3 linked regions of the Saccharomyces cerevisiae S288C genome follow. Changing the gene in region 2 together with the main gene of any one other region gives a genetic interaction. Each region holds a gene or a part of one and is shown on either strand. Other genes may lie near its edges. The genes, in order: SSH4, TUL1 and PIB1.

Region 1 (4,322 bases), 160 kb from region 2:
AATGATAAGAATCTCAATATTCTTTTGGATATCTTATCTAGTAATATCAACAGGATAGAATCCTCCAGGGGAACTTTCCTCATACAATCTATCATAAACTTTGAGAAGTGGTGGGAATTGCCTCCACACACTCTAAGTAAATATATATATTTCATCAAAATCCTTTGCTCGAGTATACCCAAATGGTGGCAAGACGTTTCGATGATACTGGTATCTTGTTTTATTTTACCAATCAAACAGACAGTGTGTCATCATGATATGCTTAAATATTTCTTAAGGATGATTCCCTCCTCGATGGGATTCATAGATACATATTTGGCCAAATTTTTCCCAAATAAAAATGATACTCGGAGAAAGTTGGTTAATTACACTTCAAATTTGCTGAAATTGAGAGGCTACTGCTCTGAGCTAGGATTCCAAATTTGGTCCTTACTGATAGAAAAGATTATTTCGATTGATGTCGAGTTACAAAATGAATTAGATGAATTAGATGATGATGTAGATGACGATGATCTAGAGGAAGTTGATCTAGAGGATGACGACGATTTAGATGATGATTCAGGAGACGATGATGATGAAAATTGTGGGAACAGTAATGAAGAGTTAAGGTCTGGAGCAGCCGACGGTAGTCAAAGTGATAGTGAAGATATGGACATCATTGAAGGTATGGACGGTACTGAAGAATATAATGTGGAGTTGACGCAGGGAATCAAAGAACTTTCCACCAAATTGGACTCTATCTTAACTTTGGTAAGCACGCATGTGGAAGAGCAAGTGACGCCGGAGAGTTTAGAAAGCGGTGAAGGCGTAGGAGTCTTCAACACTCTAACAACATTATTTAAAACGCATGTTCTACCCACGTACTATACCAGGTCGATTCAATATATCATGTTCCATGTTTCACAACAACAATTAGAACTAATGGATTCATTTTTAGTGACACTGATAGATATTTCGTTTGCCGTCAACGAAGCAGCAGAGAAGAAAATTAAGTCATTACAATATTTGGGGTCGTACATTGCGAGGGCCAAGAAACTATCCAGAACTCAAATTATTTTCGTTGCAAGCTATTTAACGTCCTGGTTGAATAGATACGTTATCGAAAGAGAAGAAGAAGTTGATCAACGTGGAGGTATGGAAAGGTTTAAACATTTCTATGCAGCATTTCAAGCACTTTGTTACATTTTCTGTTTCAGACATAACATCTTCAGAGATACAGATGGTAACTGGGAGTGTGAACTGGACAAATTCTTTCAAAGAATGGTCATTTCAAAATTTAACCCATTAAAGTTTTGTAATGAAAATGTCATGTTGATGTTTGCTCGTATTGCCCAACAAGAAAGCGTCGCGTACTGTTTCAGCATAATTGAAAATAACAACAATGAAAGATTGAGGGGAATCATCGGCAAAGCTGATAGCGACAAGAAGGAAAATTCCGCACAAGCAAATACCACATCGTCTTCTTGGTCTTTAGCCACTCGACAACAATTTATTGACTTACAGAGTTACTTCCCATATGATCCTTTGTTTCTGAAAAACTATAAAATTTTAATGAAGGAATACTACATAGAGTGGAGTGAAGCAAGCGGGGAATATGAAAGTGATGGGTCGGATGACTAAGGTCTTTTTTCATAGGTATCTTCGAGACATGCCCGTCACAAACTAATGATACACTGTAGTCACCCCATTAATAGTTGAAATGAGGATATATAGCATAAATGCATTTAACACATTTTTTAGATTTCTAGATACTATAGAAACTTAGTATTTTTATTTTCCACAGTGTACTCTTCACGATATTTTGCATTTTAGAACGCTTGTTTGTTCTCGTCACTTACTACGTGCGCGCTTTACATTCGCAGGTCTACTTATTAAAGAGTTTCTGTGGGGAGGGGTTCCTGAGTCAAAATCTCAGCTATCCGAACAGCTTGTACTTAGATTACTTGGCACATATTTATATTCAGTAAAGTCAATAGTGGGTATTATTAATCGAAATAAACAGAACAAGCAGTAATAGCTCTTTTTTCATCTATTTTATTTGTAACTAGGAAGAAGAAAAAAACTTGAAGGTATACAAGAGCAATGTATGTCACTTTTAATGAGGCTTTGGATAGTTCTTTTGGTAATCTAGAGAGTCCGAATCATGACTTCAAAGTAGGTGACCCTAACATGGTACCAACTCCCCCTATGGATTCAGATTCTGCAGCAATTAGTTTGGCTTTCTTAATAAGTCTTTCTATTACGTTTGCAATATTAATGCTCATCTTGGTAGTAATAGCGGCATATGTCACCTTTTGTGGTGATGATGAATCAGAATACGACGAAGAGAACGCCTTAGGTACACGAACTTCAGGAACTCTGCACTCTTTGTTTGGTAAAAAACATAGTGGCATCTTGTTGGATTCGAGTTTTGCATCCCCTGGCGGGTTTGATGATGAGATCGTTCTTCAGGAAAGAGAACTTGAAGAATTACCAAAGATGTCAGCGTACGAGGTTGAGTTGTATATAAGAGCGAAAGAGTTTCAAATGATGAGCCCGCCAATGGTGAAGGACTTTGGCACGTATTTGGACAGTGACGACCAGCAGTTTATTAAGGATCGTGGCATTCAAAGCTATTTTTTGCTACCAAGCATTAATGATAATATAGACGAATATGGAAACTTTCTACCCAGTTTTATTGTCCAGGATAAACTAGATATTCAATTTTCAAAGTTCAATAAGAGCTCATCCACTGTAATGAACTATCCCCTACCTCACAATAGGAAGGACGCAGTGTATTTCGAAGTTAAAATTTTCAGACATATTCAAAAGTCCAATAGTATATTCAGTATAGGTTTGACTACTGTACCATATCCTTATTTCAGGGTACCGGGCATGGCCAAATACTCCATTGCATACGAATCCACAGGTAAACTGAGGATAAATAACCCCTTCACTGCCAGCACATTATTACCAAAATTGGAAGAAGGTGACACGGTAGGATTCGGTTACAGATATAAAACAGGTACAATCTTCATTACACATAATGGGAAAAAATTAATGGATGTAACACAAAATATTGGCATTGATCTTTTCATTGGAATTGGCGCGTTTAATGCCGCATATACAAGAACATATACGAGGGATGGTCTATTGGAAGACCCGGATAATGTTAGCTTCCGTGAAGCTCTCTCTGAAGGCAAAGATATTGAAGTCGCCAAAGATCTTCAAAGAGTTCACGATCCACATGATGAAAGTGATGAAATGACGTCAGATGAGGTTGAATTACATGTTAATTTGGGCCAAGTTGGGTTCGTCTTTATAGAAGCCAATGTGAAAAAATATGCGTTTGGGAGTGTTTATGGCCAAATTGGAATTCCTCCTGCGTATAATGGAACCGAGATCAAGAAGGATACTATTTTACAGAAAGGAGAAGAATTGCCACCAAGATATGCTGACACTGATAATTTCTTTGGTAGTATGAAGGTAAAAGAAGGGTCATCCTCTAGGATAACGGCGCAAACTAGTAAGCCCCTGTGGTCTGTTGGGACGTATGAAAGAATCTCTTCTAACTTTGACAGAGAAAATAATGTTTACCACGACAGTCTTGAAACCGACGATAACAACACCGATAACAATGTTAATAACAACGATGAGAACGCTGGTTGCAATGAAAATTCGCCATTATTGGAAGATGATGGCAATAAAAGACCGGAAAATTCAAATACCCCCCGTGAAGTATCAGATGGAGCTATCAATAAGAACCCTAGAAATAAATCTACTAAAAAACGTCAAAGAAACAGAGGCAAATCTTCTAAAAAGAAGAACAGATCGAGAAAATAAGAGACATTATGAATTTGGTTTTTTTTACAATTTACGCATACACAATATATACATTCCTACTAGCTTTTTTTTCTTCAATTCGATAGTTTAGATGGGTTTATATCTAAATATATATATATAGTATTTTATTTCATATTCAATCTCCTAGTATACATGAAATATTTAACGCTTTTTTTTGCCCTTGTTTTTATTTTTTTTCTTTTTTGAAGCTGCAGAGTTACCATTGTTATTTTGCACAGCATTAGCTTTTTGCTTCGGTTCTGTAGCAGTTTTCTTAGCCGCAGGATCGCTCTTTTCGACATCTGTGTTGACAATTAAGGTGGCTAAACCAACAATGTCTTGGATGCTCTTACCTTTTATTTTTTTACTCGATTCTTTTATTTTGTTATTTTTCTTCTTCGACTGTGCTATTTTTTCAATTTTACCTGGAGTTATAGATACGCCTCGTGGGCCTAATGCACTAAGTAATCTTGAAACATCTTTACTCTTATTAGTAGTAA
Region 2 (4,512 bases):
ATTTAAGAGATTGCAATGCAACATTTCTTTCGTCGTACTCATCTAAAGTTATTGGTAATTTGTAGTGTTCGATCACCCTTTTTCCTGCTTCCGGTCCCGGAAGCCCTTGCAATTTAATCTTCACATCCCAAGTTAAAGGTCCCTTACCAAATTCTGCGAGAGTTTCATTTAAAGTTTCAGTATAAATATCCTCTGTGTTGATGAGAAGACCATCCATGTCAAATAGACATGCCTTCACTGCTACAGGATGTGTCATAATTTGTTAAAAAAAAGAAATTTACTTTTGCGTTCTTATTGTCAAAGAAACAAAAGCAGTGTAATTGGAAGGCAGTGACGGTCTTAAGATTCCCCAACTTGGAGTTGGAGCGATTTAGATTCACCTCAATGGATCTTGATCGGCAATATTTTCCCAATAATTAATTCCTCGAAAAATGTGTCATACGGAAAAAGGGTAACACTAAAAACCCTTGTGAATTATCCTAAGTCTAGTTTGCCTATTGTATATTTAAGCAAAACTACTTTAGTGGTAATAAAAAGTTAATGCACTATTCATGTAAAATTTCTTATTGCAATGGTTGACAAATAGGAAATGTCACGGTATCTTGGATCTTGAATACAAATACAGTATATAGTTCTTAGGATCAAGAGATGCTATCTACAACGGAGGTAATGGTGACCTACACACAGGACATTGTAACTTATAATTCATCCAGTTTTCTAGACACGAAGTATGAAATACGTGATTACAAGGCGTTACCATGTAAGAGTGCTGATCCACCTTATGAGTTTCTGGAATTTCCTCTATGTAAATTGGAACATCAGACATACATATCGCGCAATCAACGGTATGTTCAGCAGTTCCACCACCATGCTCCGATATATACTCGTTTGAAAGGGGCTTGAAATACGAATATCCATCAGGTATTGTGTGCTTAGGCAAGAACCAGCGCGATCCCAATACATCTTGAGAATACAGTATACTAATTTGAAACAGTAGCCACAATGATAAAAATACGACGAAATGAACATCTTTATGGTGCCTGAACACATTAGAGGAGTAAGTGAAAACATACACAACGGGCAAGCTTCTAATTATTGTTGTACCAATTACAAAACTCCACAATAATGGCATTTTGTTTTGACTTCTATTTCCTCCAATGCTAGATCTTGCTCTTTCTCTTCTTGAAGGAATACCTTTAACGGCGTTACGGAAAATTTGAGGGATCCAATATGAGTTTAATATGAAGATTAGGATATACTCAAATACCATCCTTAGCTGACGGGGCCATGAAGTTGAACTCAATATTAAAAACGTGAAAATGATTAGCATAAAGAAAAACCTACCATATAACGAGCCACCGATAGACCCTTCATCGGGAATGAATGCGGGTCTTGGCCTATTCTCATCATATGTGCCAGTGTTACCACGCAGGAGGTTGATAATCCCAACATTCTGTTCGTTAACCTGTGAAGCGTAAATTGAAATTAAGTAGCGTATTTCAAAAATAGATGCCAAGATAAAGCACGAAAAAGCACTTATAACTAGGGGTAAGTACAATTCGGGAACGACACTAGCTGCGACAAAGTACAAAGTGGCCAAGGAACCATCGACTAAGTTTATCATTGAGAAACAATAGAATGAGATTTTGTTGACCATGGAGGGGGTATTTGTATGATGCATCTGAGTAAGCAATAAGTATATCTGGGCTGCAAATAATGCAATACCGAACAATAGATGTTTTCTGATCGACATTATTTTTAATTCGTACCGTGTACCCTTTACGTTATGAAGCCCTAATCGTACGCCACAGTCTGGAGAATACAGTAATCCAGAGACAACATTTATGGGCGGTAAACTAGACAGATTTGCCGGACGCCCCAGGGGCCAATTCAATTCATCATCTATTAACTTGATCTGATCTCTTGTGTACTGATTCCATGGTTCCAACTGAAGAAAAATCAAATACTCACATTTAAAGTTGGCATTATTATAAGCATCCTGTACGTCTTTCATGGTCATGACATCTGTGTAATCCGTGAAATTCCAAAATTCATCAACGAGTTCCTTGACATCATTAAATATTTTCTCATTATAATCATTCTGGAAGGACATGTAATGAGGAAGGGCGAACAATGAATGAAATTTAGAACTCTGAGAAATAGAAAGAATTCTACCACGTTGAATGTCATATACAGCCTTCGAGTATATGGAATGCTTTTCCTTTTCAGCCTTATCTGAGAAATCAATCTGAAGATTTAACAACTTCCAACGGTCATTTTTCTTATTTATGAAATTTCTCCTTAAGTAATTATTATTGTCCTGAAGATTGCTCATATGAGAAATTTGAATAGCTATTTCGCCATGCTGAAAACTCACATTATGAAGTTCGCCATACGAAGGCCACTCAGACCAGTACGTCTCACCTTCAGGAGGAATATCCTCTGAAAAATCAGTTGCCGGCTCATAGAATCTGGGTACAGGCATCCTTATCTTTTCGTACTTGTTATTTGATACAAGGTCGATTTTACCTAACAGGGTGCTTGTAATATTGGGAGGGAAAAGGTTGGAAGCGTCATCATTCGAAGTATTCCAGACTTCAGTATTTATGGCCTCTATGACATCGTTGGGCAAAACCATGTAGTTTTGATTGGGAAACCATCGATCATAATCTTTTCCTGGTAGTGGGTAAGTGGCATTTTGGAGAGGATTATTCAGCATGTCTTGGTAGCTGAGTTTAAGCCCGGTAATATTTCGAAAACTATCTGTATATGTCATATTGACGAACGTATTGTGCTCTGTTCGGAACTGCTGCTTGAGTCTCTGGAGTTGATTGAACTCATATTGAGAAGACACACCATCACCACCCGGTGAGGAGAAAAATAGGAAAAGGATCACTATTATGAACACCAGAGTGTTGCCATCGATTTCCATACTGTACTTTTGCCTCTTTTGCTGTAGGACTTTCCTTTTTTGCCTGAATTAGTAGAAATACGGGACAAATGTAACAAACGAGATTGAACTTGCTTTTTTACAATATCTTTTGGGGTGATAATTGAAAGATGACGATCCGAGCTTGTCACCTTTAACTTACGTTTATTCTATTTCCCTAAAGTTCACAGACCCTTACCCCGCCAAAGGAAAATCTCTATATATACTGAAGCTACGCTTAACAAATATATAACATGACGTGAGTGAAGAATTATGAACACTAAGCTTCTTTTGCATTTTTTTTTGCTTCTGTATAAGTCTAAACATATAAATGTGTATATATTAGAGATATATAACCCATTGAAAAAAAAAAACTGCGTGTAGTAGAATAAATAACCTAACGGAGAATTGAAAGTAAAAAAGGGATTGCAAGCCGCACCTTCAATGTTCCAAGATTTGCAAATTACCAGTAACGACAACATTTTCCAATATGGAGCCGTTTGGAATATCGATTTTATGACCGTCGGAGCAAACGATGATGACAGTACCCCTCAAAGTGACATCTTTACCTAAAAAGACGTTACCAGTGATGGTCAAATGATCTAGCTCGACGATTTTTGGGATGTGAGGGATTCTTGCGTTAAAACCAGAAACCTTTTTGAAATGCGAGCCCAACTTGATTAATGGGTTTGGACCAAAACGGGATGGGTCTAACTTCAAAGAACCGTGTTCCAGACGGAATAGATCTGATTTAACCAGCAACAAATCGGAACAGGTCTTGACAGGCAAGAATCTTGATCTTGGAACGACAACACCGTGAGCACCATCAAAATGCCTGATAGCAGCACCACAAGCGGTTTCTAATTGTAAGACATTAATTTCATGACCGTCTCTTGTTATAGTTTTTTGGTTTGGAATGATTTCCATCTCCAAATTGCTCGATTCGATCAACCTCTTTACTGCTTTCAGATTGATCCATAAGTTATTCGTGTTGAAGTTGGTAAACTTTCTGATATTTTTGAATTCGTCAATGTGTTCTTTTGGAACTTGGGCGACTTCCAATAAACGGACTTGACCATCGTAAGAAATCAAAGTACCACCTTTAACATCGGCTCTGGTCTTATCAGTCAATTCCATTATATATTCGGCACCAGTCTCGATCATGTGGTTTAAAATTTTTAAGTCGACGGTAGCACCCAAGTTGTCACCGTTAGAAACAAATAATATTTCTCTTCCTTGGGCAATTAAGGCATCCAGTTCACCAGATACGTGTAAAGATTCAAACAAATCACCGTGACCTGGTGGATACCAAGCATCCAGTGGAGAATCGTATTCGGTGGGGACAGGCAATAAAGAATCCTTGTAGACTCTTGGGAACCTGGATTGATTGAAAGATCTGATTCTGATTCTGTTAGCGGAATACTTCTTAATCAAGTGTTCCGTATCCTTGTCAGTGTTGAAAGAATTCATCAATAACAATGGCACGTCGCTATCGTACTGTCTGTTCAAGTATTCAATTTGACGAACAGACAAATCCAAAAAGGTGTTTCCCTCTCTCACTTCAATAACAGATTTAGGGCCAA
Region 3 (3,241 bases), on a different chromosome or scaffold from region 2:
GTGTTGAAGATATTCGCAAGATGGCTAAAAGGAAAATGGCCAACAGAGATATTCTAACGTTGTTCTTCTTTATTATCTTAGAAAATGTGCTACCGGGGCCTAAGAAGCTTTACTTATGCTTTGCCTTGCCCTTGCACGATTACGATATTAGGTGCAATAAGGTGAAGTGGCAAATCGAACATGGTATTGGCAAAGTTCCCAACAGATTTGACTCTGACCTAATACAACCTTATTTTTGGATTGAATTAGAAGTTCCTACTTTGAGCGATGGTGAATTATACATCATTGACCCTATAGCCCATCTGGGTGAACGTGAAATGGTCTTGAAAACACGCGAAGATCAGTTTGTCCCTACTTATCAACCTTCGGTAGACATGAAGTACAACCTAAACCAAAAGTTTCATTATGTAGTCCGTATCAATCATGCTGAAAAGGTACTACAAGATGTTTCACCAAGATATGTGCCAAATGTTTGTTACAGGTACTTTGAATTATCTGAGTCTTCTCCTATTTTGAAATCGAAGCATTACACTAGCTACCAATATCTATCTAAGTGGTTGAAAGTCTTGAACAAGAAAAAAGCATCTGTTCATCATTACGCAATAATGAAAAAGATTGCTTTAACTAATTTTACATTACCAAAGAGTGTGACAGAGATTAAAAGAACAGATAATTTCGTGATTCCCTCTCTGTTAAAGTCTAATGAAGTATTAAAAGCATGTGCAAAACAAGCCGCAACATTTACTAAGGGAGACAATTCACAAGAGCCCATATTTTGGAGAAGAGACGTCATTCAATTAAAGAGTAAACAGCACTGGGCAATATTAGGGCGTTCCATTCTACCTAATGCTCAACCATTAAAACGTAAAAAGTATCTACCGATGAGGGAAAGGATGGTAAGAAACCTAGACAAGTACGTTATCAAAGAATTGTTTTCGTATGAGCAAACAATGAAGTCTCCTAAATACCCCAGCACGTATTGCGATCATTTAGGACAGGAACATGTGATAACAGATTTGTCGCATTATAAAAATAAATTTGGCAACATCGAAATTTACTCGAAAGAAACTAAGCCTGATGGATTTGAATTAATACCGCTTAGCAAAGAAGTTGATATTAAATGCCTGATAAAGGAGTATAACAAAGGTAAAAGAAAGATGCAAAAAATCAAGTATTTGGATGTGGTAAGTGGATTTGATTTTAAACAGAAAAAAGGCCATGCCATTCCGAAAATTGAAAGCATTCTAGTCAAAGAGACAGACTATAAAGCAGTCCAGCTTTTGAAGCAGCAAACTAAAGTACTACTGGGACTCTCGTTCTGGGACATTCTATTAAGAAAGCTACGAGTTAACGATCGATTAAATGCTGAGTACGGTAATGTTGGAAATAATGAAGAAACGTTGGACGACCATTGACTACATCGTATTTCACCTTTTCTAAAGTAAAATGGATTCGACGCTGTTTCGCAGAGGGTATAAATGTTTGCACGATCGATAGAGCGTATGGAAGCCTGTGCATAATCATATCTCTGGAGAAGGAAATCTTCGATAAGGGCCAGTGAAATAGCGGAGTATCATGGAATCCGGGTAATGGGCATCGAAGCAGCTCACCGAAGAGAAGAATAGAAAAGAAAAAGTAGAACTATTCTCGGGATTTATAGTAAACAGGGGACGGACGATTAAGAAATAACCTGATCAAACACTGTACACTACTGCTGTTTTTTTTTTTTTTTTTCTGCTAGAAAAGAACATATGAAGAACTAAAGCGCATGGTTATTAAAGAGGACTGTATCAATAATCTTGCCAGGTGGCAGGCAGACGAGGAAGCTCACAGCTGTTTTCAATGCAAGACGAACTTTTCGTTTCTCGTAAGAAGACACCATTGTAGGTGTTGTGGAAGGATATTTTGTTCGTCTTGTACCGAAAATTTTGTTAATTATAATAAAAAGAGAGTCCATGCCTTGCAGAAAAAAAATAGCGACGTGGAATCGCCTCCATATAGAACTTGTAATGAGTGCTACGATAACCTCCTTCATTTAAATCTACTAGTATCCTCCACCAACAGAGATGTACGACTATCGCAAACTTCGGTACCACCAAATGCACTTGCACTTTCTGCACCAGATAGCAACACTGATGAAGACGCGGAAATCCTGGAAGATTCGGTAGATCAATCCGGTACGGCATGCAGGAGCGAAGAAAGTTCACAAAACGAGGAGGATCACTTCTGCCCTATTTGTAACTCAGATCTCACACAGTTTCCTGATGAAGAAGAGACCAGAAAGCACGTAGAGGATTGCATACAGAGAGCTGAAAATGCCCAACAACATACGAATACGTCAGATGCAGCAGATGACTCCGTAAAAGAAAGCCCTGCCTTTCAAAATAGAATGTTAGTGTACAAGATATCGCCTAATACAACAGATAATGCAATTAAGGAGTGCCCGATTTGTTTTGAGAATATGGAACCCGGTGAGAAAGTTGGGAGACTAGAATGCTTGTGTGTTTTCCATTATAAGTGTATTAAGAACTGGTTTCACAAAAGGGCGCAAATGACTGCAGCCCAGAAGGGAAATGGACATGCTTTTGTTAAAAGGAACTTTTGTCCTTTCCATGATGCCGTATTTTAACGATAACTCCCAATTTGCTTTTCATTACAAAGTTTAATTTTTCAGCTGTTAATAATCGAAGTTTTAACTTCCCTTTTCTTTTATTTTTTTCTTTAATTGTAAAAGATTTCTATATATTTGTTTAATTATGATCTTATATATTCATTAATATTTACTTTGAGGTGTTCCCTCACCTATGAATAAACAGACACTTCCTGGTTCTTTAAGTCCATCGGAGTCATGGCTACTATATGGATAGTGATGTTACGTACGGAGGATATATATACATATCGTGCATTATTCTACTTCACTGAATAAGTCACTATCCAAATCCTCTGGTACATCACTATAATGCTCATCTTCACTCGATGAAGATCCATCATCGCTCATTGCACCATCTTTCCCTTGACCTTCACCCTGTTCTTCTGCTCTAGCTTTTCTTCTTTCCAATTTACGTTGCTTTTTAGCATCTTTAACAGCCTTTTTTTTAGCAATGTTTTCTTCTTGTTCCTTTCTTCTTTGTTCCTTCAGCCTCATTTTTGCAGCGTGTCTCTTTTCTAAGGCTTTGATTTCTTCGCTTGATTTTTGAACAAATTCATGATGTAATACTTTACCTGAACAAATACCATCTTC

What was found.
Region 1: of TUL1 (region 2) and SSH4, changing one enhances a phenotype caused by changing the other (phenotypic enhancement), as found in Saccharomyces cerevisiae (one study listed by BioGRID).
Region 3: of TUL1 (region 2) and PIB1, changing one enhances a phenotype caused by changing the other (phenotypic enhancement), as found in Saccharomyces cerevisiae (one study listed by BioGRID).

The regions. Positions count from the first base shown.
Region 1 is NC_001143.9:208,511-212,832, forward strand, and holds SSH4 (Ssh4p), read left to right. Parts: upstream 1-2,082; coding exon 2,083-3,822; downstream 3,823-4,322. Other genes in the region: RRN3 (rDNA-binding RNA polymerase I transcriptional factor), read left to right, coding at 1-1,620; signal recognition particle subunit SRP21, read right to left, coding at 3,985-4,322. UniProt on the Saccharomyces cerevisiae protein: Components of the endosome-vacuole trafficking pathway that regulates nutrient transport. May be involved in processes which determine whether plasma membrane proteins are degraded or routed to the plasma membrane.
Region 2 is NC_001143.9:370,249-374,760, reverse strand, and holds TUL1 (ubiquitin-protein ligase TUL1), read right to left. Parts: upstream 2,933-4,512; coding exon 656-2,932; downstream 1-655. Other genes in the region: YKL033W-A (haloacid dehalogenase superfamily protein), read right to left, coding at 1-256; UGP1 (UTP glucose-1-phosphate uridylyltransferase), read right to left, coding at 3,371-4,512. UniProt on the Saccharomyces cerevisiae protein: Catalytic component of the DSC E3 ubiquitin ligase complexes that tag proteins present in Golgi, endosome and vacuole membranes and function in protein homeostasis under non-stress conditions and support a role in protein quality control.
Region 3 is NC_001136.10:1,088,607-1,091,847, reverse strand, and holds PIB1 (phosphatidylinositol-3-phosphate-binding ubiquitin-protein ligase), read left to right. Parts: upstream 1-1,768; coding exon 1,769-2,629; downstream 2,630-3,241. Other genes in the region: RAD34 (Rad34p), read left to right, coding at 1-1,415; SSF2 (rRNA-binding ribosome biosynthesis protein), read right to left, coding at 2,906-3,241.